4 linked regions of the Oreochromis niloticus genome follow. The protein of the gene in region 1 binds, or shares a complex with, the protein of each later gene. Links are inferred from orthologs where the notes say so. Each region holds a gene or a part of one and is shown in the gene's direction. Other genes may lie near its edges. The genes, in order: ppp4r1l, smek1, ppp4r4 and ppp4r3b.

Region 1 (7,738 bases):
CAGCCCCAGTGATGCCCAGTGAGTACTGATTAATTGCAGAAACCACAAGCTGGGTGTGTAATGAAAGGCACCCTCCTATTCCGGTAGGACGTATGCTCCCTTTTGCTTGTTTTCTGTAAGAAGGAGCAGTCCTCCAGGGGGAGGCCTGGATGGGCTGTTGACAGCTGGGCTCAGATGTGCTCGTAAGGCCTCATCTGGTCTTGAGATATGGGTTTTGCTTGTGGAAATCACTGAGCTTTCCTTTCTGCCCTAGTCTCTCCTTTCACATGCATTGGCTGGCTTTGTGTTCCTCTTTCTCAACTCCACAGATTTCAATAGGCCAAAGCTCCATGGAGGTTAGAAAACAAGCCATGAAAAGCCTCCAAATACCACAACAGTCTTGTAGGGAAAAAAAACACGCAGACACATGCGAAACCTACCAAAGGAATGTTGCTACTTTTTCAGTCGCAGATGTGAGGCACTTGGAAGACCGAGAGGCCACATGGGCATGAAAAAGTGAACAAAAATGCGAGGAAAAAAAACAACCCAGAAGAAAATTAAATAAAATGTTGCACAGATGAAAGCAAAGGAGAAAAAAAAAAGAGGACATGATGACGTAGAGTGGCACTGGCTCAAAGATAAGATACAGCAGCAGCGCATGCCAGTGAGCTCAGAAAGCTTGAGTTTTATCCTCTTGTCTGATCTTAAATTGGCTTCCTGAATGTCCCTGAAGTCCACAAAAAAAAACAGAAGCCTCCCGGGGGAAGGGGGAATAAAACACAAGCAGCATCTTATCTCACCTCTCCAGAGAATGCAGCACCAGGGGTACCACAATACAATAGAAAAGACTTACGCATGAGAAAAGGAGAAGGCTGTGAGCATAAAAAGGGAAGTGGCGTGGATATCTAATGCAGAGAAAGGTTGGCTATAGCGTGAGTCAAGCGAAAGCAGTTCCTTATGCTACAAGTGCCTGACAACTGGTGTCGATTTCACTGGCTTAAATGAAAACACCAAAATACACCTTGTCTCCTATATCACATATCATTCGCAAAGTGTGATTCGAGTTCTGACCATTGCATGGGTGGCAAAATATTTCATAATGTATATTTACAAACAAACAGCAGAGCAGATCAGATAAGAAGAGCTGCATCGGCATATAAACTGCTGACAAACAACACTTTGGAGAAGTGTGAAAGCATAAAATAACATAAAACAATGCCACTGGTTCCCTTTTTTGTTTGTCTCCAAAAAACTAACACAATGACGAGAAGGAGAAAGGAGGAAGGGAGAGAGATCAAAGGCGACAAAAGGAAAAAATGTATCTTTTTTATGTGACTTCACTCACTAAATTAAAATTTGGAAAAGGAACTCTTAGAACAAGAGTGCTAAAAGAAGTTGATTATAAGTGAACTGGCAGAACTCTGCCTATAGTAAGGTAAATATTGCCCCCTATCAGAAGTTATGACTAACTGCAGTATTCAGTTTTCTTATGGTTGGGTTAAGGAATGATGCATGTACGTGTAGGCAATTCTTTCACATCCTTTCAAAGAACACGGTGGGGATAAGTAGACTGTTCAATACTACAAACAGGTTGATGGTATAGTAAAAACTATTCACTGAAACTGTTACGGTTAATACCTCAGCAGATAATACTAACCCGCTCCTGTCCTGCCGTGTCCCAGATCAGGAATTTGTGCAGCTCATTTTGGTATTGCACTGTTTTGGTCATGAAGGATGCACTGGTGAAGAGAAACATGACACACTGCAGATTTAAAATAAACAATTGCAGATTTTTTTTTCTGTTTAACATTAAACTGTATTCTAGCAATAAAAAGCTGATTTACATCACATCAATCTGAGCCAGCTCAGAATTGGATTCTTTAAGTCTGACAGCAAAACTAACATTTGGTCTCAATTGCAAAACTGGAGATTTCAAAAACAAAATTTAATAACAACCCCTCTGCCAATAATCATCAGATATTTCAAAGTGCCAAAAATAAGTGTGTGGAGCAGCTGTTTGTATCTAGTATTTATTATTTCTTCTCTTCTTAAAAAGCATGCTGACAAAAACGTTTAAAAAAATACTAAAAATTCCTGCCACCACATATCAAACTTGAGTTTTAAAGATGTTTATGTTACTTGAGTTCAAGCAAGAAAAAATTGACTTTATTTTGTACAATGTTATTATATACAAAAACTCATTTATTCATCCTATGAAAGGCTAAATGTCAAAACTGCACAGTTCAGTTGTAAAGCTGTTTTCTTAGTTCCTTGTTTGAAAATGTCAGAAAGCAAATATTGTTCATAATTCGTTAAAAATTTGTTGGACGAAAAAGGCTGAAACACCAAAGTTACTTAGTTTAGCCACAGACAAAGAACACAAGAAAGTCCAGATATTTTGAAATCTGGAGCAAACAAGTTATTTAAGAAGTGATTTTCATGCCCATTTTTTTGCCAGTGGTTAATTGATAACTCTAATGGGCATTATAACGACCTGTAAAACTACAACAAATGAGAGAGATGGAAAAAATAAAACTTCTGTGGAAGTGGAAGGCAGCAGAACATACCCAATAGTTGGATTAATGTTTGGGTCAAAGCTGTCCTCCACAAATCTCCAAACAATACTCGACTTTCCAACTCCAGTATCCTGCAGAGACAAAATAAAGATCATGCTTACTAAACATGGTACTTGAAGAATATGAGAACAATCTTTGGCAATATGCCTGGACATTAAAACATTTTTATGGGATCCTTTTCCTTCCTGGCACTGCTGGTATAAATCTGTAAATTACTTATGGAAGAGGAAAAAGGGTTTACATTGTTTACATTAGGAGAAAAAGAAGAGGACAAGTCTGACCTAAGCGTTATCACGAGATGCTCCCACAGACAATGGTGGTTTATGCTGCTGCTATAGCAGTCTAGACATGGATGTTTTGTTTGTGTGGTCCATCAGTTAACCATTTATTCAGTAACATATCTTGTTTTAACTAATTTAATTATCTTAAAGATGACCAAAATGATGCATAATCAGGGTTGTCACAATTCTTTTCCAGTCTGCTAGTTAATGAACTGACTTATTGTCTCTATGCTATCTTAATCTTATTAGTAGATCTACAGAAAATGAATGGCTAATCATCCTGTTTTGTTGTGTGTCTTTTTTTTCCAATTTAAATATGCATTAAGTAAATGAGCCTGATTTGTAAAGAAATGCTGCAGGAATGACAAGTAATGCTGTCTAACATAGTTACAGATGTGTGTTGAAATGAAGGGACAAAAAGCATCATCATAAAATGTTTTGGTAAGCTGCCAAATAAAGCAGCAGAGCAGCTTCACCGCACCACGAATTTGAGTCACGGAAACTCTACTAAAGGTGCACACGCCACTTTTATGTAAGCTGTTCAGTGATGGTGTTGGAAGGCCTGTCTGACAAGTCAGCACAAAATGTGATATGAAAGATGACTGTCAGTGTCATAGCAGACATTGTTTTCATGCTGGTCATTCCATTCAGAGAGCCCTCATGGCCTATGGACGACAGCACTGTTTCCTGTTAGAAACTACCGTCAGTGTAGAAATGTTTCATGGCAGGGTAGAGGTGACCACACCATGCAAAGGATGTCGCTAAATACAAACCAGCAAAGTCTTCCTGCTATCAAAATAGAGCCACTGTAGGGGCTAATAGTGAGATTTTGCAGGTTATCACAACTTTAGTGTATGAATGTACACATAGTTTCCTAGAGGCCAATGTGACGACGCCAAATGTCTTGTTTTTGTCCAAAAGAGATCAGAACTTAAAGATATTAAATTTACATTGACACTAATGATTGAGATTTACCTGATCTATTCTTAAAATAGCAGCAGGCTGACTATTTTCTAATTTGAGTAATAGTGACTAATAGTGACACTAATAGCTTGATTAATATTGTCAACGCTGATGTAATCCTGTAAGTGGATGACAGAGAAGAGAAGATGTGAGGATGTTCCTCCAGCAGTGGATAATACAATTTGAATGGGACGTTGATCAAGTGATTGATGCCTTGTGCAGCTGCTGAGTGCAATTCAATGTAGATAAGCATGAGTGCTGTCACTGGCGCAGATCTATTTATTTATTTTGAGGTTGTATTGCCACTCACTATATCAGAAATTTTCACCACGGTCCATTAGAGAAGTATAGGTATGTGTTATGTGGAAGTAGAGTAGGACAGCTCCATTAATGCTCCAGTTAAAGTGTGCATATGTACAATCAGATTGAAAAATATCAATGCTTACTCACCCCCAAGAGGCAGACTTTTAACTCTCTCAGAGCCATATCGATCTCCTCTCTCACATCGAATTTGAGATGAAGATCATTGACTGTTTTCTCCTCTGCTTGCCTTTTTTTTTTAAATCTTGAATATTCTTCAGGTGGTCTTTGTTTACAAGCAACTTTACAACATCGTGGTCTGAAGCTGGCATACGCACATCTTAGGTCGGGTAACAACTCTCGCTGTAAACGTTAAAACGTCCCGCAGGTCGTCGTATTTGCCATGTTGTGATTATTGTAAACAGCTACCTCCACCACATCGCTGAGTCTCCATCTTGAACTACGGCATGTGGTCACGTGACTGCTTCGGCTTTTTTTTTCTTCCTTTCTTCTTTTTTTTCTTTTGGAGATACACAAAGCCCTCCCCACAGGCGCTATTTTAATCTCACTTATGTCGATTTTTTGCCCGTGATGAGTAACGATTTTCGGTATAGTTGTTTAATACGTAATTAACCAGTGAAAAGCAGCATCAGGAAGTACTTTCAGGAAGTAGTTAGCCTCAGTGTTTGAGTGACAGCTGTGCGGCGGTGACAGCCCACACGGGACGGCAGCCCGCAGAGCCGAGCCGACGCTCAAGATGGCAGGTAATGGCACTTTTTAACCCGTGTTTTCTTAAATATTTTGGCGCTGTGCTGGCACTCCTAAAGCGTTTTGGGGCAGTTGAGGTTTGTAGTAGTTAAATAGCGGCTTCTACTCCACTTCCTGTGTAGTACTGCCCGGCGAAGTAGGAGAGAAGTCAAGCGAAAGGGCTGGACAAGCCATGTTAGCAAACTTAGCAGCATCTAGCAAGCTAAGCTAACCAAAGCTCCTTATGGGCTATCGAAATGGGTGACTTTGGGACTACACTGAATCATATATTTGCTCAGTACATGTAGATTATTTTTTAGTCTCTTCAGACCTCGGTGGGAGAATACTATGACCGTGTTTATTATCGATCTGTTATCATAGCAAACGCGAGCGAGTTGACCTAGCCAACGTTAGCCGAGTTGCTAAAGTCATGTTCAGCCATAAGCTGACCAAATCCTGCTTTACATCACAACAAAGGCGCGATGTTGTTCTGTGCCAGCGTGGTTTTTCGGGGTGTTGTTATATATGTTATGCCGTTGATTATTCTACTCATGAAACGCCTCGTTTAATGTGTGATTTCGAGGTAGGCACTGTATTATATTTAGAGCACATTCCCTTGCTTGCCCAGCTGTAAACACTGGCTTCTCCTCTTGGGACTTATTTCTGGTCTCTTCCGTTGACTACAACCCCCCCATCTGCTATTGTCCTATATCGAGGGCTGGGTGGTATTGAAAATAAACAGTGAGAGAAGGTCTTCTTGTGCTAGATAACGTGATTACTCACACATTTGTTTTTGAAAATGTGCTAATTTGTAAAAAGGGGGAAAAGAACTTTAAATGGATTTAGCATAGGGCTGTAAATATAATTTTAAGCCATCTAGATTATTTTTATTGACTTAGTACTTCCTACGATTAAACGAATAAATCCCAACCAATATAGAATTCGACTTTTATCAAAAAATAAATAAATCTGATAATTACCTGTTCATAGTTCATATATATGGTAGATCCGAAGATATTTACATATGTTAAGGAACGAATATATAAATTAAACTGAATTCAATTGATCAGCTTAGGTCTTGCAGGTTGGAGAGGCATTGAGGCAAGACTGATGGTTTGGACATGTAGAGGAGGGGATGGTGAATATGCTAGATAAAGGAAGTTAAAGATGGATCTGCGAGGCAGGGGGGGAAGAAGACCACAGACAAGCTACATGAATGTAGTGAAGGAGGACATGTATGATTGATGTGAAAGAAGGCTGGTTAGAGATAGTGTGAGATGAAGACAGATGGTGTGCTGTGGCGACCCATAATGGGTATATATATATATATATATATATATATATATATATATATATATATATATATATATATATATATATATATCTCATAAATATAGTTTTTACATTGCATTTTGCAAACTACTTGGCAATTTATCATGACTACGTCATTTGACTCTGCTACATTTGATGCGGAAAGTGCTGAGCTGAGCCAACAGCATAGCTGCTGTGCTGGAGAAACTGTTATGACAGCAATTCTGAATTATTGAGCCGTGTTTTTATATCAGCACATATCAGACAATACAAGTGCAGACCAGTATGATGCATATGAGACGGGCGACATGCCGATCTGGCCTTATTCAAGATGTTTGGCATTATTCAATGAGTTGCTTGAAACTTCTGATATGGAGCCAGTGGAAAAAATAAAAATAAATAAATTTCACCTTGAATGGCGTGATAGTGTAAAGTTTAACCTGGAAATTGAATTTTCCATCAACTAACTCTGCAGTCATTAATCATGACCATGTTATGGCTTTTTGCAACATGAAACACAAACAAAAAGTGTGTTCAGTGCTGTGGTTGGCTGCAATTGAATGCACAATGAGGGGTGGATTTATTGTATTAGGTACATCAAGCTAAAAAGAATGCAGTCCAATACAACCTTATATGTTTTGTCATAATCAAGAATTTAATGTTCAGTTTAACACAAACTGTCTGGAGAATGAAGGCCCTCATGTTATGCTATATGCATTGTAATAGATGTTTGTTTTGTTGAATGCATTTTCATCAGCGAGGATTGTCAGAAAAACAAATGCATTAGCATTTAATAGAGAGCAGTTTAATAGCACCAAACTGACAATTGAATGATCTCACATCATGATAATAACCTGCATTTTTCTTCTCTGCTTTTATTGATGTGCAGTTGACCATTGCATCTTATTAACTAAAGAAAACTGTGCAATGAAGCAAAAAAAATGAAATTCTAAATTATTCTTGATCAAGAAAATTGGGGGTGGATATCAGTTTATTGTTTCTTTAATTGATTCTGCTTCCTGTTCAATTTAATTTGTTTGGAGAAAAAAGTAGGCCTAGACAAGTTTTCACTGTTAAACCAGCTTTTATTATTATTACCTCTTTATCTGCTTGACCATGTTGATGGCCAAAAAAAAGGGGTTTTATTAAAAAAAAGGCTTGCACAAGATTAAAATGTGTGAAAGCCCCAATTGCCAATTTGTGGTCATTGTTTTTGCCAACACTGATGAATGCTATTTTGATGAATTGCACAGTTTGGTACCGGTTTTTAACTGGAGTCAGATCTCAGCTCCCTTCGCTAATCACTGTGATAAGTATTGATTGGATTTGCTTCTCCTCCAGGCCACAGCAGTGACAATATCACTTGAATGCATTAAGTTTCGCTTTCACCGAGTGATGACATTAGGGAGACCACTGTGATTTATTGCTCGGAGACTTTGCCCCCCTTAGTAATTGACTTACTGTAAATGTGCCATTCAGACCACGGTGTCAATAAGAGTTGGTTCTTCCGCCATGGATCCCTACCTCACTAACTGCCTTGTTATTGCAGGTCTATCTTTATACTTTGAAGATGGCCATGAT
Region 2 (7,750 bases), on another chromosome or scaffold:
TTTGAAGAAAATCAAGTGATTTTGGTACACAAATGCAGCCTATAGTGTACACCCCAAATAAAGAAAAAAAAGAAAAGAAAAACTAACCACATTATATATTTCATTTAAACATTTTTACCATCACAAATGTTATAGCTCTTGGCCCTGATTTCACTGTCTTTCAGTTTGTTTTTGTGATCTTCACTATGTCATTGTATGCTTTTTTGCCCTGTAAGTCGGGATTAAAACAAAACTAATTTCTTTGTAATTACTCAAATTGAATCATATATCCAATTAATAAATGTTCAGCTATGGTGTAATTTTGAAAAAAAAAAAATGCTTTATTTGCATCTTCATTTCTTGTCGGACATCATTACTGACATGTCAATACACAAGCAGGATAATAGTAAAAGCTACTCTGAGGTGCTCCCAAGTTCACAAGGGGTCACCACAACAGCTAGCTCCAAATGTATGCTGGATGTCTTTCCTGATGCAAACCTGAAGAGATTTGTGTGTCCTCTCAGTGATGAATGAGAGATCTTTCTATGTTATGTGAATGGGTAAACAGCTACACTATAATTGCTACAATTTAGATTTACATTTTTTTACACATGAAATAATTAGCAAGTGAGCTCACAAACTCATTAGGAAGGTAATTTATTAATTTATTTCCCACAAACTTCTGTACAACCAGAAGTCTTTTATGCAGGAGACTTGCAGGGGCTGACAAAGCACTCGGCCCCTGCTGGCCATTAAAAAGTAAGGCACCTTTAGATCGCTTCTCTGCTGACTACACTTTTCAACCTGGATCTATTTTTTTTTACAATGTCTATGATAATTTAAAAGAGAGAATTTAGAATAAATAATGTGTACCTTCACAAACAAAGTCTACTGAAAAAAACCACCTTTTAATCATTACCGTAGCATTATCGGACTTTTATTTTGAAGCCAAAACTATACTTTGGAGGGACTCAATTTTACAACCGGAAGAGTTCTTTTTCACTTCCCCTAAGTTTTTTTTTTAGACCAAACAGCTAAATCGCACGGGGTACTGAGAAGTTACGCTGAATACGATTTTTTTCAGTTTTGCATAGCCAGTAAATAGCGAGGCTTTGCGTTGAAAACAGAGATGGTAAGTGTGCTTTATTTTACATCTAAAGAGCTAATAATTCTCAGTTTAGGCCACACTAGCTTGTGCTAATCACACACAGCTAAGCTAACAAGCGTCGAGGCTAACGCTTTGCAATTCTTGTTAAACACGCATTTTTGCCCACCGCTTCTGTGTTTCTTATAACTTAATTTCATCATCTAATCAAATTACATATTTTTATTAAAGTGAGATGTGGCTGAAGTAACGTTAGGCTGGATGTTTTGTAAAAGACTGATGAAGTCGGTGGTCTGCAGCTGAATGACCATCCTTACACTGGAGTTGGAAAATGTCTGGGCAGAAGGTTACACAAGTTTCAAAAACTCGCAAAAAAAACCTCTAATTAGCTGCCCGATTAAGGTGATTTGGTTTGACACAGAGAAACTGCGTGGCGGTGTGTATTAAACATTATCAATCATTTTACAGTCGCACACAATTTTGCTTGTCCAACCAACCAAGAGACCAGAGGGCCGCACATACGCTGACTATGAGTCAGTTAATGAATGCATGGAGGGTGAGTCTGTTTAATGTTTTCATTCATAATTCATCTCGCAGTTTTTTTTAATATTTACTTTCGTTGTAACAAGTAGTAGCAGCAGATGTAATTGTATTGTATTCATCATCTATTGTGATTCCTCATTCATTTTAAGGGATATTTTTCTCATAGTAAATACATACAAATGATAGGCCAGTAAATAATAAATTCATCCTAGTACCAAGTATTGTTTGTGTATGGGATTATGTGGTTAAGCCTAATTTGTGAAAAAAACAGACTGATAGTAATCACTTTTTAGTTTCTGGAAAGTAAAAAAGAGAACGTGAGAACGGACATGTTTTTTTTGTTTTTTTTAAATTATGTGACTCTTTAAACTATGGACTCAGGAAACCTGAAATTCATTTTTTTTATGTCAACATCCTACTTGTATAGCACAAAAAACTTGTAAACTTGTGCTTACTATAAAAGTTTAAAAACAACAACAACAAAATGTAATAAAGAATACAAAGGGTTTTAAATCTGTTTTTGAATGTCGTGTGTTTGCGGCTCTACATTAATGGATTTTGAACTGCAGTTAAGCTCTATTGAACAGAGATTAATCAAGGTTCACTTACACAAAGAATAATCATTGGTATCATATTCAGAACTGACTGTGATAAAAATACATGAATTTACTCAAGTTATCCATTACGTAGTAATGGGGTTTACAGATAATAAAGGCATTAAAGGGATATGATAAGTAAGAGGTGTTTACAATTGTGTTGTCTGTCTTGAACTGCAGTATACACTTTTCAGATTAAAACTACCTTATTAATCCCAGAGGAAATGATGTGGTCACAGTTGCTTTAAGACAGTAAGAACAGTAAATAACAAATTAATGTACCAGTTAAATACAGGATGTTTCAAAATGGCTCTAATAAATACAGATCGCTCTGATATATAAATATCCCAGGCTATTACACAAAATAAGTATAGGTGATGTGCCCTCTCATCATTTTAACTTTATTTTCTCTGTAAAGGATGTGACATTAACGGTATGCAGCTATTGCTGTTTGTGCACTTCTTTTTTTTTCCTTTCTTTTTTTAAAAAGCTTTTTTGGCTTTATTTTCATGTTCAAAGTGACGCAAAAGGTTTGTTTGTTTTCAGGGTATAAGTATATCACTTTATTCCCTTTATTAGGCCCTCTTTATTTATCCTGTCTTTCTCTTTCACTGAATACTGTACACCGTAATTCGCTATGAATTACTTTTGTTTTTTGCTGTTTTAGCCTTTTCCTGTGGATTGCATTTTTTTGTTGTTGTTTTTGCTGTTTTGCTTCCATTCAGCATGTCATCTGCCTCTCCCCCAGGTGTTTGCAAAATGTATGAAGAGCATCTCAAGAGGATGAATCCAAACAGTCCCTCCATTACTTATGACATTAGTCAGTTGTTTGACTTTATTGATGACTTGGCAGATCTGAGCTGTCTTGTGTAAGTATAATTAGCTGTCTATGAATTTGAATGCAACACAACATTCCCTTTGGATGCATTGGTCACATTTCAATAAAATATTTTACTTTTTATGCAGATATAGAGCTGACACTCAAACATATCAACCATACAACAAAGACTGGATAAAGGAGAAGATATACGTCCTCTTGCGGCGTCAGGCTCAGCAAGCGGCTAAGTCAGTTTGACAGGGGGGATTCTTTCATATTGTACCAAACATGAGGAAGAGAGATTGGAAAAAATTGGGGGATGTGAAAAAAAATTGGGGATTTTCTTTTTGGAATTGTCATCCTTGGCAGCGTGTGTGTGTGTTTGTAATTTGTAATGCAAAGCCCTTTTCAGACATGGTTCCACCACTGTGCTTAAGCGACGGCACTTTTTTCATTCAGACACGTAAGCTCTTTTCACACGTGCACTGCAGCCTGAAGTCTTTCTTGACATTACCTGAGAGAGGTGCATGTAAGAACACAAAGGTGTGATGCAGTTGGATTGGACATTAAATGGATTTCAGCCTGGAACAAAATTCATGTGATGTGCATAGAAACTTAGTAGTCATATTGTGTCTTTTCTATAGGATATTGCTATCATGCAGCTCCCTCGCCTAAACCACATGGAAGGCTTGCTTTTGTGTTACGTGTGAGAAAGAAAAGTTTACACAATGTCCTGATATGCCTGTTCCAACATTTTAAGTTTGTGTGTGACAACGGCTATACTGGCAAAAGTGTCATTGATCTCGCAGGACATTTGCCATACATGAATTCATTCGTATTCATTACCTTTTGAAAGTAATACATTTAAAAAAACTAATAAGGTTAGTTATTTAATTATGAATCTGACATGTGCCATCAAATGGCTTAAAAGGACTACATGTATGAAAAGGGCTTCTTTCTTTTTTTTCTTTGTAAAGACTGCATTGCCCATTTAACAAAGGGAATGTTTTCACATCATGCTCATTGGCAAAAGAGGCTTGGAAAAAATGGGGTGAAATTGTACATTTTGGGCTTTATACTGAAAAATTGGGTCATGGTTGGGAACCTGCATGTTTATAAGTTGTTACACTATGATGAGAAGAATGGGACTTTGTGGGCTAAGCATGGAGAAATACTCCGCGGGGTAGAAAAACTTTCTTTGTGTGTGTTTTTCAGTTTCCTTAAAAGTTATGTGAATTTTATTTTTTTCCCTATGTACATTTTCCTGGGAGGTTGAATTTCAAGACGTTGTGGACTTTGAAAGCAGCCGTTTTATTTTTGAAGTAGATCAGTGGCTGAAGACTGATGATCACATGACAACCCAGGAGATTTGTTACTATAATTAATGGAAAGTTTTGAGTTTTCATTATGTTTTAAAAGCCTACCATTGTGATATAAAACGTTTTTGTAATCCTGTTGTTTTGCATAACATCTGATTTCAACTCTCCATTTCTGTTTTCTTTTATTGAAACAAAATAAACGATTGTTTCTGACTGGTGTCCACTCATAAATATGCGACCATTAGTGCGATGAACACTGAATTTTTATACACAATGATAGTGTGGCTGACTGCTAAGTATTGCAAAAGTTAGACCATTCATGCTGGACGTGGCCTCAAGTTCAGTTTATTTTCTCTGTTACTGTCTCTTTAAATGTGGCGGGCTGCCCTGTTGTTGCCGTGCTGGAAACCCCGTACTGACTGTGAAGGGACCCAAGATGGCTGAATACTCACGGGGGGCACTTAGCAATTATCTGAGCAAGACATCGGCAATGAATGGCAAATAGCAGTATAATGTAAAGCGTAACCTTCAAGTAATTATACGACTCCAGTTTGTTGGTTTGCACAGTTTTTGGGATGCATGAGTAAGAGTAAGGAGAGAGTGGTCTCTCCGCGGCCCCGAGCCAGAACATGGCGGAACACTTGGGGAAGAAATAGCAGCTAACGTTAGCTAGCTGGCGTATTATTTAAAGAAGAATAGAAACATTGTTCCAGGCTTAAAACGGGTGTCTGTTGTCCGCAAGTATAAAGTAATGTTATCGACAGCTAACTCTAGTTAATCTGCTTCAAATGGTAGTTTAACATTGAATATATGGAGCGTAGGTACTTAGCGTACTAGCTAGCGAGTTAACTCGTAAGGGTTGATAGCTAACGTTACCTGTAAGCGTACAAACTGTACATATAAGCAGGAGTGTTTCGTGGGCCAGTCATCGTAACATTTGCTTCTTTTTCAGTACTCTGTTCTCAGCTGTATATTGTAGTGACATTCGTTGTTTTGTCGTTTAACGCGTAAGCTAACGACGTCCTCCGCTCTTTAATTTGTCGTTAGCTTCCTACAATGGTTTGTACGCGGATTCTGCGTGGCGCCTTGCCTATAGTGCTGGCAGTCTAAGTTTTGAGGCAGCTCGTCAAGAAATGCGAGATATTGCAGTAGTAATTTTAACAACGATTGCGGAATCCTGCTGGAAAGTTGTTGAGGCGTTCCACTTTTAAGTTGCTTTTTAGAACTTATCCTAAGTGACCCCCCGCCGCTTCATATTTAGTTAATACTCTTGTAGAAGTGAGCAGCTGTAAAAAGTGAATTGAAGTTGTGGCGTTACTAGGTGAAGAAGACACCCCGTAAAAGGCCCGGAAGGGGAGAACGGGTTACAAGAAACTGCCAGGATGACGGACACTCGTCGGCGAGTCAAAGTCTATACCCTCAATGAGGACAGACAGTGGGATGACCGTGGGACCGGGCACGTCTCGTCGGGCTATGTGGAGCGCTTGAAAGGCACGTCTCTCCTGGTGCGAGCAGAGAGCGATGGTAAGCGAACATAGGAATGCCACGCGATTATTGTAGTAGCTCAGTTATTACTACAAAAACAATACCTTCCGCGCACTAATTTTAACCACCTGTATCACCTGAAATTTGCACATGTATTACTCGTTTGAAGCAAATGCAGTAACCTACAATTTTGGGCTACCTTTGTGTTAAACCTGACAGGTTCCCTTCTGCTGGAGTCCAAAATTAACCCAAACACAGCCTACCAGAAACAACAGGTCAGTACATAACATGATGAACATACAAAACTGAATTTTTTTCCCCATTCTGCTGTTTATTTTAAATTGGCTTTGTTTTTCTTTTGAAAAGGACACATTGATAGTGTGGTCAGAGGCTGAAAATTATGATCTAGCACTCAGTTTCCAGGAGAAGGCTGGCTGTGATGAAATCTGGGAGAAAATATGCCAGGTTAGTGTACTTCATTTGTGTGGGTTTGAGTTTTTTTTTATCTCCATTAGTTTGTGGATTTGATGCTATTTGTGTTACCGGTGATCCCTTATGTAGTTACATCCTGAGGTTCTAATATGTTTGTCCACACTTATGTTTTATTGTTAAGGTGCAGGGAAAGGACCCTTCAGTTGACATCACACAGGATGTGGTGGACGAATCGGAGGAGGAGCGTTTTGATGACATGTCATCCCCAGGTTTGGAATTACCGCCATGCGAACTGAACCGTTTGGAGGACCTGGCCGAGCTGGTGGGCTCTTCTCTCCCATCACCACTGCGACGTGAAAAACTAGCACTGGCTGTGGAGAATGAAGGCTATATTCGCAAGCTCCTGGAATTGTTCCGTGTTTGTGAGGATTTGGAGAACAGAGAGGGACTGCACCACCTGTATGAAATAATGAAAGGCATCTTCCTGCTGAATCGTACTGCACTCTTTGAGGTGATGTTCTCTGATGAGTGCATAATGGACGTCATTGGTTGCCTGGAGTTTGACCCAACACTCCCGCAGCCAAGGCGGCATCGTGAGTTTCTCACTAAAACAGCCCGGTTTAAGGAGGTGATCCCCATCTCTGATCCTGAACTGCGTCAGAAAATTCACCAGACATATCGGGTGCAGTATATTCAGGATATGGTGCTGCCCACGCCCTCTGTTTTTGAGGAAAACATGCTGTCCACCTTGCACTCCTTCATCTTTTTCAACAAGGTGGAGATTGTGGGCATGCTACAGGTGAGATAAGCAGACATGTAGTATGATCTAATAGTATGGAGTTGTTGTTTTTACTTTGTGTAAACACTACATTTTAATTAAAATGGTTTAATTGAAGCAAGTGTTATAAATAGGTAAACTTGTGAATGTACTGTAATCCTCACAAAGGAGAATTTCTTTTATGAAATGTTAGTGAGGCTCGAATTACAGTAATTATAGGATTGTACATTGGTTTTATTTTTGACTGATTGTACTTTTACCCTGTCTGAGATTGTCTGGCAGCCTTTTATGATCATGTGACCTTTGTGTTTTTATCCTGTGTCAACTCAGCATTGTTTATGTATGGCTGTCTCCATGGAGGCACAGTAGTGTTGTGTAAATCTGTTATGCTGCGCTAGAGGAAAACTGAAACGGGCACATTGTTGACTCTGGTGTTCTTTGCTATATCACGCTCTGAAGTCAAACACTACAGATATGAGTCTTTCCTTCCTTAATTAGCATAGGGCAGGCAAGCTTAAATCAAGCGGTTCACTAACCAAGGTTTTAAAAAATATTTAAAGTGGTAGTAGATGTCATTGAATGAGACAGTGTTTTCAGCATAAACAAATCAAAAGTATTCTTATGACCAGATAGGTCACATTGTTTATGCTCCAAATTTCTCATTGACAAACATGATGGAATTCACTTTTGTTTTCT
Region 3 (7,134 bases), on another chromosome or scaffold:
TTGTTTGAGTTCCATGTGTTTTCTGTCTCTCAGTGTCAAGTCTGCGTTCTTGTTTAGTAATTCATGTTTCCTGTTTTATTGTGAAAGTCTTTGTCTTATGTTAGTGTGTGCAGCTTGGTTCCCCCCGTCTCGTTAGCCCTGATCTCTCCCAGCTGTGTCGCCCTCCTGTTGTCCATTCCCTCATTACTACCCTGTGTATATAAGCCCTGTGTTTTCCCGTGCTCGGTGTCGTGTCGTACCATCAGATCGTGCCTGTGTGTTCACTTCATGTTTTGTTTTCGTACCAGCAATAAAGCTGAGGTTTTTGAGTTTCAAGTTAGTGTCTGAGTCCTGCGCTTGGATCCTCCTCTCCGCCTGCCCGCACGCAGAGCCCTGACAAACAAGGTCTACAGATGTCTTTAATTTCTCAGCAAGTTTAGTCAAATGGTTTAATGTAAGCATCCTGTCCTATTATGACACTTGAAGCTGAAGCATCACTGACCTCCACATGACCTCTCCTGAAGTGATTAACCACAACATAAGAGTCTGTCTTGTGGTTTAGAGGTCAGATCTCACATCAACTGATCACTGAGCAAATGTGGTGAAAAACCATTGACTATATAACAGGCATAGCCTCTCTGACCTCACTCATTGGTTTGCGGGTTTTGTTTTGTTTTTTTCTTTAAGTAAAAAGTGACCATATTTAAGTAAGAATGTTAAGCTGGTAGGGATTCCTGAAAACTGATTGGATAAACACCTATGAGGCCTAGTATTTACATAAGGGCTGAGTTATTTTTTTAAAAAGAACTCTGCCAATACGATCATTCCAGGAATCCTGGCTGACAAACTACAACAAAGACTCCACTTCCTTAGGATGCTGAGGAGAAACCATCTGGATAAGAAACTAATGGTAGCTTTTTACCACAGCACCATAGAGAGTGTCCTCACCTACTGAATCACAGTTTCGTATGTTAATTGCTCAGTAGCGGACAAGAAGAACCTGCAGAGAGTCATTAAGACAGCACAAAAGATCATTAGCTATCCCTTACCCTCTCAAGAGGACATAGCCAGCACTTGGCGTTTCAGGAGAGAAAAGGAGAAGATCGACGCTGACTTGTCCCACCTTGGACAGCACCTCATGCCCTCTGGTAGGAGGTAGCAGTGTTTAAAAGGCATTACAGCCAGGCTGAAAAATAGCTTTTTTTCCTGGGCCATCAGAACATTGAACACTAAGCCTAGTGAATGGACCTAGTGAGCCTCACTTACCAACCCTCAACCTGCAATAGTCCAGTTAATATTCAGTACAATGTTCACACAATGTTGCCAAATTTAACATTACATCATAGTGCAAAACACCAGCATGACATGGCACAATATACAATAACACCCACACTCAAGGGCTGCTGCTACCTACCAGCAAGAGCCCTTTTTGGCAGAACTGTATTTATGTGTATTTAACTTGTATATTTGCTATTTTAATGTTAATATACTCACTCTTTTATTTTTACTATCTTACTATATATAACAAGTTAACCATTTTAACTACATGTACAATTAAAATGGGTCCATGTACAGGACACAAAAATCTGGATTTCCCAGAAGCTTATGATCATGTCACCCTTAGAGTAAATTAATAAAGGAGCCTAACATTTTGTTGCATATCAGCACATTTTTCCATCATGAATGAACAGTGTGGATATAAAAACATAAGCAGGTGAATGAAGCTGAAAATCTGAAGAGGAAACATCTGAAGTCAGATGTCATGTTACAGACATAAAACTGGAGGGTTTGCCCAACCGTAGCTCAAGCTTTTGTTCAAGCAGAAGTTTTTTTAATGTGAAATACAGATGACAAATCAACCTTCACATAAAACACAAAGTAAAGCTTTATTGGTGATTAAGATCACCTTTAACTCCTGAAGTAAGGTAAGTAGCGTTGTTAGAGGCTTAATGAGAAGCAGAAAGCAGTAGGTGTCCTGACCTCTGACCAGGATCCTAATGCACTGCAGCTGTCCATAATAAGCAGCTTCATGAAGAGCGATCCAGCCTTCATCATTTGGCTCCATAAGGCTGCTTAACCGCCTCCGGACCAATTCCATCAGAGCCTCTGCATCCCCACTCATGATGATGGACTGTAACGGACTGACCTCTCTGAGGGAACACACAAACCTTCAGAACGACAGACTTGGAACCAGAGTCAGATCCAACACAGAGCCGCTGCGCTGGAATCAACACAGAGTCAAAACCACGATAACAGAACCAACAGATAGTCAGAACAAACACAGAACAAGAGTAGAACGACAGAGTCACAAGCACAGAGCAAGAACTAACACAGAGTTAGAACCACAAGTCAGAAACAAGCCCTCCCACCTCCTCACACACACACACACACACACACACACACACACACACACACACACACACACCCTGCAACCATCTCCAGACTGTCTGACACTCACTCTGAAATGTCTATTGATCTCTTGCTGCTTTCTGATGTTTGCGGATGTTTCCATCCTCTGAGCTCCATTTCATTCCGAACTGACTCACCTCTTGTAGACCTTGTAGAGAAACTGTGACAGGGCTGTGGGAGGGTTTATACAGTTTTGGATGTGGGGGACAGGTTCAGGTGCAGAAACCGTTTGCACCCTTTTGGAGGGGTCAGGACCTCTGTGTGTGGGGTTAGGGTTTGTTTGGATTGGGCCTGATGATGATGATGATGAAGCCTGTTTATCAGACAAGCTTCTCTCGACAGCGATCTGCAGCAGCTCCTCATCTGCCAGGTGACTGTAGATGCTGTAGTCATCCAGGTTCTGCTCAGAGACTGCCATGTCAGACAGAGGAACAGGAAACGGTTTGCTGTCTGTGTTTCTCGTTAACGCCAGCAGCGTGTGGACAGCAGTGGGTCATCCAAGGTGATGGCGTTTTGGCCTCAGCTGCTGCTGAATGATGTCAAGACTGTGGGTCAGCGGTGTTTGTTTCCTCCAAGCTGAAGCCAAAAATTCAAACACTGTGAGAGCTGGTGTCAGCAATATCTACTGTCCTGCACCCGAAAAACAGCCTCCACCAACAACACAGATGGAAACAGGATCGATGCACATAACCAGGCTCACAACAGCCCAGAAAACTACTAACTGATTTGTGTTATCAATCCTTTAAACCCGGTCGGTCAACAGCAGCCTGATAAAATTTGAAAGACTCAACTACTAACCCATCTCACAGATTTAAATTCAATGATTTCAAACACACAAATTTAACCTAAATTAATTCTAAATCAGAATCATTTAAAAATTGGTAAACACAGAACTGACTGTTTGATTTAAATCTAAATTTGATGATAAAAACAAAACAACATTAAAGTGGATTCAAGTGTGGTTTGAAGTTCCCCATATTCAAACATATAAAAATAAAATAAAACAAACTGTTGATTGGGTACTACCTGTGAAACAATCCAATCAGGAAGCAGCACTCTCTGGTCTGCAGCAGAAGGTCCTGGTTCAGAGTCCGAAGGTCTGATCAACTCTGAGCTTTCATGAGCCGGATCGTCAGCCAACTCTGACACTGAGACTGCAGCTGAAGGTCAGCCCCTGTCCTCCTTCTCCTCCTCCTCCTTCTCCTCCTGTCTGTCTGGTCTCACCTGTCCCCATCTGTTTGCATTATGTGTTTTTGTCTCGGTATGACAGTAAGTGTAACTTAAGTGGCTCACCTGCCTGCTCTGTCCCAACTACAGGTCATTCAGAAACCTCTTAGCATCTAACAAAGGGCCAACAGGGCTAACCTGTGATTACCTGGCCTAAAATGGTGATTGAACACAGAGCAGGAAACAATCTCAGAGCTTGACAGGTGAGGCATTCATCACATAAGCTGTGAGCTTCATGTTCACGTGAAAAAAAAAAAACATTTCAGAAAAAAGACGAAAAACCTGAATGCAGAAAGTGAAACACCTGACCCTGCAAAATAAAACAAATGAGTGCGGATCTGAAGCACGTGACGTGGATAGTTTTATTTGATGGTTATTGAACTTTCAGGTGCGTTTACAGGTGATGGGACAGCTCAGAATGAGAGCGGGTTCTGGATCGAAGACACGTTCTGGACTTTATGAATGAGCACGGACAGCCGTTTCCATGGAGACGGATCAGCTGCTGCACTGCGTCTCCAGCTTAACACCCTGCAGCTCATCTCCCGGTCCCGGTTCAGGTCGGGCTTGCAGCCTCATGACTCCGTTTAGGTTGGCTCAGCCCGCTCTGCTGCCCACGTGTCACTCACGGTGATGAAGCCTCCTCCTCTTCGTCCTTTGGTGTGAAAATCAGCCTCATACCGTCTCTGAGCTTTGACGCTGCCCGGTACCAGTCTGCGTATGACAGACCAACAGAGTGGGCGATTCGGTTCGGTTGTGCACTGTCGAGGATGACGGACTCAAAGGAGCACGGAGGAGCGCAGCCGCAGTTCTGCGTGACGCTCCCACCGCAACCCTGAGCTGAAGCAGGTGGAGAAGATCTGGACTTCGTCAGAATATTTGGAGATGTGCGCCGAACCAGAGAGGGGGTCCATCTGATTCATCCCGCGCCCGGTTTGTGCGGTTTCCTACATTCAGTCTTTAGATTTACTCCGAATAAATTTCGTGTGCGGAGTTTTGGACTGAGGGTGGTGTGAATGAAGAGTCCTCGGGGAATAAAAGAGTTAACTGGAGCTTTTTACATGCAGTCTGGCTGCGGCTTCTCTGCGCTGCACTTGATCTGCTTGGAAACGTGTGACACATCCCGGTAACGGTGTGACGGTTTGGGATGTTAGGGGGGATTTTTCTGGAGGAATCGCAGTTCTGTGAGCGCCGAACCGCAGATCGTGCCGTGAGTGTGTGGACGGGTTTTGTTTGGGATCTCTGATAGCCCTCATCGTGTGCAAATGAGCGCATTCGTGAGACTTTGTCAGACTTTTGAACGGAGTCTGGAGTGACGTTCAGCTCGAGCAGGGATCTCCTTGGAAACGGTTAGTGACAGATCCGCAACCCCCGCCCCCTCAACAGGGATGGTCGGAGCTGATACGACTGCTCCCCCTCTAGCAGCCAGATGTTACCCGGCAGGATGGCCCTGAGCCCAGCTGGCGTGCTGTGCGGCCCGCTGGAGGAGCTGCAGGAACTCGCCTTCATCGAGAGGCCGATCCGTAGGAGCCTGAAGGTGGGTGTGTGTGTGAGAGAGAGAGACGTAAAGTGATGAGGAGGAGGGTGAGTTAGTGGGAGGAAGATCAGCAGTCTCAGTGGAAGAAGCAGAAGGGAGACCCGCAGCATGACGCAGTTAGTCCGCCTGTCTGTCTGCAGAGAGACAGATAGGTCTGAGGTGCACCGAGAAAAACGGCCAATAACTGGTCGATTAATCAGTAATCATGAGAAACAGAGTGAAGCTGTCTCTGATCTAATTTAAGACAGTCGCTAATCATGACTGATCAGTAACTGAAAAGAAACGCGCTGCCTGGTTCTTACACCTGTAGCTGTGTGGGCGGGGTTTCACCATGATGACAATGGGGGGGGAGGCGGAGCTTGGGTGTTCTTACGGGAGAAAGCTGATGCGATGACGACAAACACACCTACACTGTGTGCATGTGTATGTGTTGTTATGGGTGACAGTGGTCAGTCAGACCTCAGGTGAGCTTCTCCGTGTCCTCTCATGACCTTCCTGCACGTGCAAACGCTCAGGACAGTTCCTCATTGACAGACGTAACCTGGAATTATCTGTGTTGCGCCCATAACAAGAGCTGTTCCATTTCTCCAAACACTAAGGAAAGGAGCTTCAGTGCTTCCTTTATTGCTTCCTTTAGCAGAGGAGACACTGGAGCATCCTTTATGAAAGGGAGGAGAAAAAGCCAAATCTTAATTCATAGCATCTGATCGTTCATGAAAACAGTCAACATATTAAACAAAGTGAAGCAGATCATGAGAACATTCATCATAGCTGCATTTTCCATTTCAGGATTAGAATATTTTAATAATCCCTAAGGAAATTATGTGGTTTCATCCATAACCCGTTGATATATTTATAGTTTTTATAGCTGTTAAACTCACAGCTGAGATCTGAACATTACACAGCTGGAATAAAACTACTTCCGGTTGAGTTGTTGCTCCATGAATGCATAACGCTGTATGAGCTCAAGATTATGATCTATATCAGGGGTGGGGAAACTCCAGGCCTCAAGGGCTGGCGTCCTGCAGGTTTTAGATGTGTCCTTGATCCAACACAGCCGATTTAAATGGCTAATAACCTCCTCAACATGTCTTGAAGTTCTCCAGAGGCCTTGTAATGAACTAATCATTTGATTCAGGTGTGCTGACCCAGGGTGAGATCTAAAACCTGCAGGTCACCGGCTCTTGAGGGCTGGAGTTCCCCACCCCTGATCTATATGAGCAGATCAAAGTGTGTGTAAGGTTCTGTATAATCAGTGATCATTAGTAATCATTAGTAATGTCCTTTGTTGTATTAGAGGCTTTAGGAGTCATGTTTACTTCAGGTCAGGTGGGATCAGTGATGATGGAGACAAGCAAAAAAATAATAAATAAATACCGTATACACAAGATAACTGCCAGAGGGCAGACGCTTAAACACCTGGTGTCCTGGGTTTGTGCAGTCCTGCAAGATGTTGCGTGCCTTTTTGAGACAGCGGATGTTACAGCGGTCCTTCAGTGATTTTCTAGGCCATGTTAGCAACCCTTTTTAATCAGAATACTTTAATAAGGAAATTGTGTGGGTTACAGTTGATCCAAGACAATAACAGTAACAGATAGTAAATAATACTATATAATCCAAAGTTTACATAATATAAGAAATAGCTCTAATATATACAAATAGCTCAATTATAAATATGCCTTCTTGTGTGCCATGCTGCGGCTCAAGAACTACACAGAGATGCAATACATCACCACACCCTCAAAGGCCTTCTTCACAATTTCCAAGGTGTTTGAGCTCCATTGGAGGTCTGTGTCCATATCAGAATCAGAATTAATAAAGCATTCTGATTCTGATTCTGATATACACATTCAAGAGCTTGAAGCTGGACACCCTCTCCATCCACTCTATTGACGTAGATGTGCTGCAGGTTGGACTTCCTCCTCCTGAAATCAGTGATCAGTTCTTTGGTCTAGGGGTGTTACGGATTAAGTTGTTGTCTGCAC
Region 4 (8,019 bases), on another chromosome or scaffold:
TTTGCATGAAATTTGTCTGGATACGATGCTAGTCAGAAAATATGTTATATAATGATGTTTAACTGATATATCTAAATCTGTGTTGCCAGGTGTGCCCATCTCTTCTGCTGTGGCAGGTGTAGCCATTGGTCTCATCTCCAGGGCTAACCCAGAAAAACCTGCTGAGATAGAAGACTACAGACTATTAACAGATATTCTGGTATGTCCAGTACCGTCGTTGCTTGTTTGTGATCAGTTATTATCACTAAACAGTGGAAGAGAGATTTTAGTTGAATGCTCAAAAGGTTATAACAGATGTTCCTGAGTATGACAGATGTTGAATATGAGCTTATAACTGTTTTGTAAACAGGGAATAGAGGATTACCTGGGAGATATGGACTTCAAACTGGCGGGAACAAACAAGGGTATCACTGCTTTACAGGTACTGCATTGAGTAGCTTGTAATAAGTGTCTAAAAAAGATCTTTTTAGAAGGAAAATTAATAAAGCTAACTGAAGGGACATCACTTTTTCATAGAAATGTTTTACTATAAACTGTACTTGATGTGTAAAATATTAAAGAAGAGACCAATATAGTGTTAGAGCTTTATTTTATTATCTTTTTATTATAAGACAACATTAATTTGTCTCTGTAACGCCAAGTTAAGCAGGATTCTTCTTAGTGAAAGTGTTGCTCTGCTTAACGGACTGTGTGGTGGACACAAGCGAAACATTAATGTCTTTCTGATAAAGATGAAATGTATTAACAGTAAACCAATGATAGCTACTAATTTTTCTTTATTTTACCTCCAGGCTGATGTGAAGATTCCTGGGTTGCCACTGAAGGTGGTCATGGAGGCAATCCAACAGGCCACAGGTAGGCCCAAAACTGAGAAATATACCCTGTATTAAAATTTTATTTGCATGGCTCTTTTGTGGCATTTGCCTGTTGTTGTGTTTCAGTGGCAAAGAGGGAAATCTTGGGCATTATGAACAAATGCATAGCAAAACCCAGAGAGAGCAGGAAAGAGAATGGACCTGTTGTTGGTAGGTTATGCATGAATATGTATGTATACAGAAATATGCAATATTTAATAGAAAGTTTTTAATGTCATCTGTTCCAATATGTGATGTTTTCTGTCTTCAGAAAATGTTCGAGTACCTGTCTCAAGGCGAGCTCGCTTTGTTGGCCCTGGAGGCTACAACCTCCGCAGGCTTCAAGCTCAAACAGGTAATGCATAAGTAATAAAGTCTGAAAAAGGCAACTTGGAATGTGATGGTGACGTGATGCTAATCCAGCAGCACACAGATTCGTTTTTTCATAATAGAAACTGTTGTCCAGAATATAAAAACGTCACCACATTTTCTTCTTTGGTTTCAGGTGTGACAATAAGTCAGGTAGACGAGGAGACTTTTTCCGTGTTCGCTCCAACACCAGGAGCCATGAACGAAGCCCAACACTTCATCAGCGAGATCTGCAAAGACGATGTGAGTCTCCCCCTCTTGTAATTACCTTCTGTCTTTATTCAGAGCCTTTCAAAAATTGTGTTAAAATGTGCTCTACAGAGAACCCGAAACAAATTAAAAAAAGAGAAATATAGTATAAAGCTTAAGCAAGATGGCATTTAAACAAAGAAATAAGAGAAATAATCCTGATCAATACACTTAAAAAAACAGGAAAGCTCTCAGCATGCTCTAATAAAACAAGGAAAGAGGTTTTATATTTCTATATTTCTATATTCTGATAGTTTCTTTGCACCCTTTTATGCACATTTATAAACTCAATTGCTGTTTTATACCACAATGCAAACATTACCTGGATAAACAAATCAAAACATTAAGAACAACTGCTTACACATATTACACATATTCATAATGTATGTAGGTGAAAATTGGTGTATTTCTTTGTTTTGCAGCAAGAACAGCAGCTGGAGTTTGGTGCTATCTACACTGCCACCATCACAGAAATAAGGTAAACTAAAACAATGCGTTATTTACCAACAAACAGTGTTTGTTTACAGTTATTTCCCCACACTTGGAAACTGATTTATGTATAAATAAAATCTTGCAGCCTTCATACAGCTCATCTGTTCTTCTGCTCCTCTGCTTTAGGGACATTGGCGTGATGGTGAAACTTTATCCCAACATGACTCCTGTCCTGCTGCACAACTCGCAGCTGGACCACAAACGGGTTTGTGAATTTGTCTGCGTAAAATGGTTTTCCTTTTGAGTCTGATGGTAGAATTTTTACTTAAGTCACTTCCTTTATTTTCCTTTTAGATCAAACATCCAAGTGCTTTGGGTTTAGAGGTGGGACAGGAGATACAGGTGCGTCTCGGTTACTGCAGACAAGGCATTGCTAATTTCAGTCTGGGATGCTTGTATCTAAACTGTGTTCTGCTAACAGGTCAAGTATTTTGGACGGGACCCAACAGATGGCAGAATGAGGCTTTCACGGAAGGTGCTCCAGTCTACTGCTGCAAGCGTCGTAAAGAGACTGAATGACAAACAGAGCATCTCCATGGGTTCAAGCGACATGCAGACGACCAGTACAGATTCGTGACACTCCCCCATGACTGCCTAACTTCTGGCTTTTCTGTCAGAGTAGACTTGGACTGAGTCAAATTTCCCTTTTCAAACAACAGATCTTGTTATGAACTATACATAAAGAAGGTTACTCCGCTGCTGAGAGTATGGATGTGGCAAAAATGCTGCTGACATCATGCCTCGGAGAATTTGCACAAACAAAGGGATAAGACGAGGAGGCAAACATTTTCAAAAATACAAGTGTCTACCCATTTTCATGCTCTGTTGTTTGACTGTATCAAAGTTTTAAGATTTTTCTTTCATTACACAACAACAGTGCTTCTGTCATTCACGTGTGTGATAATGTTGCCTCTTGAGGCATATTTGGTATGTGCTGTAGCAGTGTGTCCACTAAAGAAAAGAAAGGCAAGTGGGTGACGTGTTAAAGAGAGGTGTTTTCTTAATCTTTATATGGTGTCGCATTTATATTATATGTGAGTAACTAAAATGTAAATAAATAACCAGCCACGGGTGGGCCACATGCCAGTGTACTCCTAGTGCTGTTACCAACCATGGATAAATAGGTCAGGAAGGGGATCCGATGTAAAATCTTCAAATCAAATATGTGGATCGTCAAGAATGAACGACTACCAATGGTGCTGTTGACCAGCAGGGTGCTGGTGGAAACTGCTGTGCAAGGACAAAGAAAGAGGAAAGAGGGAGGCAGCAGGAGAGAAGGAAAGGTTTGGAAATGAGAGTTGGGACTTTCTGTGTCGGGATTATGGAGCTGCCAGAAAGGAGGAAAAGAGAAGCTTCATTAATGTAGAGAAGGAGGACCTGCAGAGAGCTCGTGTGGCAGAGAAGGATGTAAGCGATAGGGTGAGCTGAAGGCAGATGATCCACTATGGCAGCATCTAAAAGGAGTAGCAGTATGGAGACGTAATATGTAAATAAAGTCATTAATGATTGCTTTATTCATGTCTTTAAGTCAACAAAACACCTTCCAACCATGCCAGAATGTACTGAGTGCATGCTTGTCAAATTTTCTTAATAAAAAGCTGATTTAATTGCATGTTTCAGTGGCCACATGCAGGCACACAGGTACTGCTTCAGCATGTTTTAAAAAAGACATTTGCTTCACAATAGGAAAGGTTCATCCAGTGGGTCCTTAAAAGAAACTGGATGGTGGAGATGATAACAGGAGAGCTGTAAAATTTCAACATTTATTTAAAACAATTTATTGCATAATATTGGACAGGGAAAGATCTAATAACTCTTTGGAGTCTTACAGAAGAATTAAGTGTTTCTCTGTTCAGCCTTAATCTAAAAGTCTTAGTCCTAATATGTAGGGTTGCATCAGGAAGGGCCTACAGAGCTGGAGAGAGGAGGAATGAAAATCAGTAGAAGCAAGACAGAATACATGTGCATGAGTTTAAATACCTCGGGGCTACCATCCAAAACAACGGACAGTGAACAAGACAGTATACGCAGGGTGGAGTGACTGTCGAGGTAATTTGTGGATATGTTGGACAAAGGATGTTGAAGATGGAGCTTGCCAGACAGGAGGACAAGAGGATGACCTCCGAGAAGATTCATGGATGCAGAGGAAGGTTGGTGTGACAGGAGGATGGACTGTGATGGAGGCAGATGATCCTCTGTGGCTCACCTTTCTCTGCAGAATAGTTTTAATTCAGTCATGTTGGGAGTTATTTGAACATGAACGGCCTGTTTAAGGTCATGCATCTAATTTAGGTCCCAACTTTGAATAGACCAATTCCAAACCTTTGTTTTGTTTTTGTTTTTTTTGTGACATTGAGTGAAGTTTTGGTGTTTTGGATCATTGTCTTGCCACATAACCCAAGTCTGCTAAAATTTCAGATGGCTGGACATTCTCCTTCATGATTTTCTGGTAGAGGACAGACTTCACGGTTTCATCAGCTGCATTTTCCAAGTCATAAAGCAGCAAACCAGCCCCGGACCATCACACTACCGTCACCATGTTTGACTGTTGCTTTGATAGTCTTTTAATTAAATGATAGTTTTACTTACCAAAAAGTTAATCTTTTGTCTCATTAGTCTGAAGAATATTTTCCTAGAAGTCTAGGAATTTATGCCAAAAAAAACATTAAGATTTTATTCCTTTCTCTCTTTCTCTGTAGATCATGGCTTGAAGTGTTGCTTTTTCCAAGAAAAATTCCTCGTTTGTGTAAAAAAAAAAAATTGGCAGTTATGATTGTGATTAATTAACGTGAAAAACTCTGTTAATCTTCTGCGTTAAGTAAGTATCTGCTTCCTCTATGAATTAAACAAGCTGAACCAAATCACATCTGTACATCATGCCAACATCTGCAAACGACTGTGGGTGCTATTACCTATCTCCACCGTAGGTGACGCGGTGAGCTGGGGGAGCCGCAGTTCTGCCATTGGACGATGCCGCCCGGGGGAGGAGACCCCGCGGCAGTTAGCGCTTGATTGACGTAGAAAAAGAAAAAGAACACAAGATCGGATTACAAGATGGCGGTCTGTGGACGTTAGCAAGAAGGCCGTTAGAGTTGTTGTGTTCTCTCAGAATTTTACAGTTTAATATTAGGCCCCTTAATAAGTAGATTCACGTCGTAATATGTTTATGAAATACCTACTAATATATTTTGCTGCTGTTGGGAACTAAATTTAAACATGCATGTTTTATAACATGCGGTTGGAAACAAAGTTAACAGGTCGAGGAAAACACTAGACGGGTGAGGTGATAGCTTGTTAGCAGAAAGCTAGCCTGCTAGCTCCGACTCGTTTAAACCATGTCGGACACTCGGCGGCGAGTGAAGGTATATACGCTGAATGAAGATCGGCAATGGGATGATCGGGGTACCGGGCACGTTTCGTCTACATTTGTCGAACGACTGAGGGGGATATCGTTATTAGTTCGGGCTGAATCGGACGGTAAGTTCCCTGTTAGCATAGCTGTTACGGTGGTTAGCATGCTAACTCCTGGTTGTTCGGAGAGAGCGCTTCGATTGCCCACAGTGGGTACCAGATTACCTTATTAGACTTTTTTTCTACATGTGGGGCAGACTTCACCGTCATAGTGCCAGAACTGTTAATATTAGGCACGTCTCTCAATAAATTGCAAATATTTATTGAATAGCTGTTGCTAGCATGCTCATTAGTTTGGTCCGACGGGATCTCGGTAGCATGGTGCCCCTGAAAGTCTGAACGTATAAACTTGTTATTGCTCTTTGTGGTTCATGTATGTGACAAAGAAAGTACATAAGGTTATTACAGTAGAACCCAAGGCCTGTTGTAGTTATTTTACCTTTGTGTTTGAGCATTTTAGTTTAATTCGATTGTTTTTTGTGTGTGTATTTGCATAGCCATAACTGTTTATTTCTAGACAGAATAACAAACCTCGTCTTTAAAGAACCGGTTTTCTAACTGGCTTGAATATTTAGTCACCTATATCTCTGTGCTTTAGGATCACTGCTATTGGAATCGAAGATAAGTCCTAATACTGCATATCAGAAACAACAGGTAAGTTTTTATTATTACCTGAGTCTGGCTCAGTTACAGATAGCACACACATTTCAATAATCCCAACACTGGTTTGAGATCTGCTGCTGGATAGTTACTGTAATCTAGGCGAGACAGTAGAAATTGGCTGACTGATGCAATTGTAAACTTGGTATCGAGTAATAATCGGGTAATGCCATGAGTAATTACCACACATGCGCCACACCTGTTTGTAAATTAAGGTGTCATTAGAATTATGGCATAAATAAGAAGTCTTCCCGCATTTATAGGTAAGTGTCTGAAAGACAATTTCCACCCTCCTTTAACAGTGAGCTGCTGTAGTTAATGAAACCTTTAACTAATTCAACTTAACCTTAACCTTGTAACTCTTCAGGAGCTGCACAATATTGTCTCATAAATAAAGAAAAATATTTTCCACCTTTTTCTAAATATTTTTGCATGTCTTTAAAATTACTGCTCTTTGTTGAAGGTTGAATAACTTCCTTTTTTTTAGGTACTGGAGGCTGACAGCAGCTCTTGTTCTCAGACATGTTGAGGCGTGTTTTGTTGTTGTGTTTTTTTTTTATGTATCAGTGTTATTGTGATATGACACTTTTATATGACCTAAAAATTTATAGCATTATTAATGATTAAGGTCGAGTCTGGCTAACTTCAGGTTTATTCCTGGATTTCCGGTGTTTTGGAGGTGGTTTACTTCTTATGAAATAGATTACTCTGGTAATTTACACTCCACACCTAATCTCCTCAGGAAAGGGTCATGTTTGAGACAAGAGATCAATTGGATCCCATGGAACAATTATTTCTATGAAATAATGCATGGAAGATCAATTAGAGCTTAGTGTGCAGATAGTAAGAGAATCTGAAGTTTGTCTCAGATCAGCATCGGTAAGAAATAGAGATTCTTGGGGGCAACTTTATTCCTTGCTTCTTTCCTGTTGACTGCAAACAATATTAAAACAACTTTATTGTTGTGTAGGCTGTAATACGTTGAAATGATACTAAAACAGAGAATTTAAACCTTTTCGTTTCTGACGTCATGAAACATTTGCAAGTTGGCTGCTTACCTGTTTGAAAAATTTTATTTTGTTAAATTTTGTCTCTACTTGCCCTTAGACTATTTCAAATTGAGTGAAAGAAGCAGCAAATCTAAATGTGATTAGCTTCTTTTTATTGTAATATAGTAATGAGGTCTTCCCAGATCTTTGACAGTAAGTTTGTTGCCTTAAATTATCAGAATTTGTACACACTTTACTATTTACTTTGATACTTTAATCATTATTACTTTAAGACATATATAACAATACTACAATACTACACAGTGCTTTTCTTCTCACACAGACTGACACTGTTGTTTTGGCTGCAGCAGTTGTGTTGCAGCGAGTCTGTATTATCTGTTTACCTACTTCATGTTATATAATGCTAATTTTATAGCATGATAGTATTCATAAACTATGCCCCTCAGCTGCTAATAGACCGGTTCATGTTTCTGGTTGGTCATGCTGCCATTGCTGCCTCTTTCATGTGAATGTGGTCATAGCTAGATCGGAAAACGCTCGTTTGACTTAGAGTTGATAACCACCTTGGTGAAGCTAGGTACAAAAAAGATATTCTGCATGTGTTTAACTTGCTTTGTCTGTTGTAGACTTTTGTTCAAACCATTTTCATACTCTGTGGATAAGTCACTGTCATGCTAGAGGAGTGCATTCCCACCAGGATAGAAAGCTTTATCCCTCAGATACACTTCAAGGATTTGCACCCAAATCCTGCCAGCAATACATACAAGAAGGCATAACGGAGCCACAAGATCCTCTGTCTGCAGGAGTTAAATGTTGACGTTTTTATTTTCGTTTGCTGCCTGTGTGTGTGTGTGTACATTTGTAGGCATGTGTTCAGTTAACATACAATTTAATGAATAAGTGTGTGTGTGTCTGTAAGTGCCTCCTGTGAAAGAGTTAAGCATGTCAGTGTGTAAAGTTTAATAATCCTTTGT

The links.
Region 2: ppp4r1l (region 1) and smek1 share a complex: the UniProt entries of both Homo sapiens proteins name them as parts of the PP4 complex. The link is inferred for Oreochromis niloticus from reciprocal best matches to the Homo sapiens genes PPP4R1 and PPP4R3A.
Region 3: ppp4r1l (region 1) and ppp4r4 share a complex: the UniProt entries of both Homo sapiens proteins name them as parts of the PP4 complex. The link is inferred for Oreochromis niloticus from reciprocal best matches to the Homo sapiens genes PPP4R1 and PPP4R4.
Region 4: ppp4r1l (region 1) and ppp4r3b share a complex: the UniProt entries of both Homo sapiens proteins name them as parts of the PP4 complex. The link is inferred for Oreochromis niloticus from reciprocal best matches to the Homo sapiens genes PPP4R1 and PPP4R3B.

The regions. Positions count from the first base shown.
Region 1 is NC_031970.2:8,136,107-8,143,844, reverse strand, and holds the start of ppp4r1l (serine/threonine-protein phosphatase 4 regulatory subunit 1), read left to right. Parts: upstream 1-4,726; 5' UTR 4,727-4,856; coding exon 4,857-4,863; intron 4,864-7,706; coding exon 7,707-7,738. Other genes in the region: rab22a (ras-related protein Rab-22A), read right to left, coding at 1,637-1,718, 2,547-2,626, 4,250-4,285. UniProt on the Homo sapiens protein: Regulatory subunit of serine/threonine-protein phosphatase 4. May play a role in regulation of cell division in renal glomeruli. The PPP4C-PPP4R1 PP4 complex may play a role in dephosphorylation and regulation of HDAC3.
Region 2 is NC_031980.2:12,515,452-12,523,201, forward strand, and holds the start of smek1 (serine/threonine-protein phosphatase 4 regulatory subunit 3), read left to right. Parts: upstream 1-4,749; 5' UTR 4,750-5,741; coding exon 5,742-5,883; intron 5,884-6,063; coding exon 6,064-6,119; intron 6,120-6,210; coding exon 6,211-6,309; intron 6,310-6,457; coding exon 6,458-7,075; intron 7,076-7,750. Other genes in the region: erh (enhancer of rudimentary homolog), read left to right, coding at 1,109-1,111, 1,553-1,640, 2,972-3,092, 3,190-3,298. UniProt on the Homo sapiens protein: Regulatory subunit of serine/threonine-protein phosphatase 4. May regulate the activity of PPP4C at centrosomal microtubule organizing centers.
Region 3 is NC_031980.2:26,953,484-26,960,617, forward strand, and holds the start of ppp4r4 (serine/threonine-protein phosphatase 4 regulatory subunit 4), read left to right. Parts: upstream 1-4,126; 5' UTR 4,127-5,041; coding exon 5,042-5,149; intron 5,150-7,134. Other genes in the region: ankyrin repeat and SOCS box protein 2, read right to left, coding at 1,960-2,129, 2,526-2,806. UniProt on the Homo sapiens protein: Putative regulatory subunit of serine/threonine-protein phosphatase 4.
Region 4 is NC_031978.2:10,560,834-10,568,852, forward strand, and holds the start of ppp4r3b (serine/threonine-protein phosphatase 4 regulatory subunit 3B), read left to right. Parts: upstream 1-5,009; 5' UTR 5,010-5,299; coding exon 5,300-5,441; intron 5,442-5,973; coding exon 5,974-6,029; intron 6,030-8,019. Other genes in the region: pnpt1 (polyribonucleotide nucleotidyltransferase 1, mitochondrial), read left to right, coding at 90-199, 350-421, 792-855, 942-1,025, 1,126-1,209, 1,360-1,466, 1,895-1,950, 2,091-2,169 and 2 more. UniProt on the Homo sapiens protein: Regulatory subunit of serine/threonine-protein phosphatase 4 (PP4). May regulate the activity of PPP4C at centrosomal microtubule organizing centers.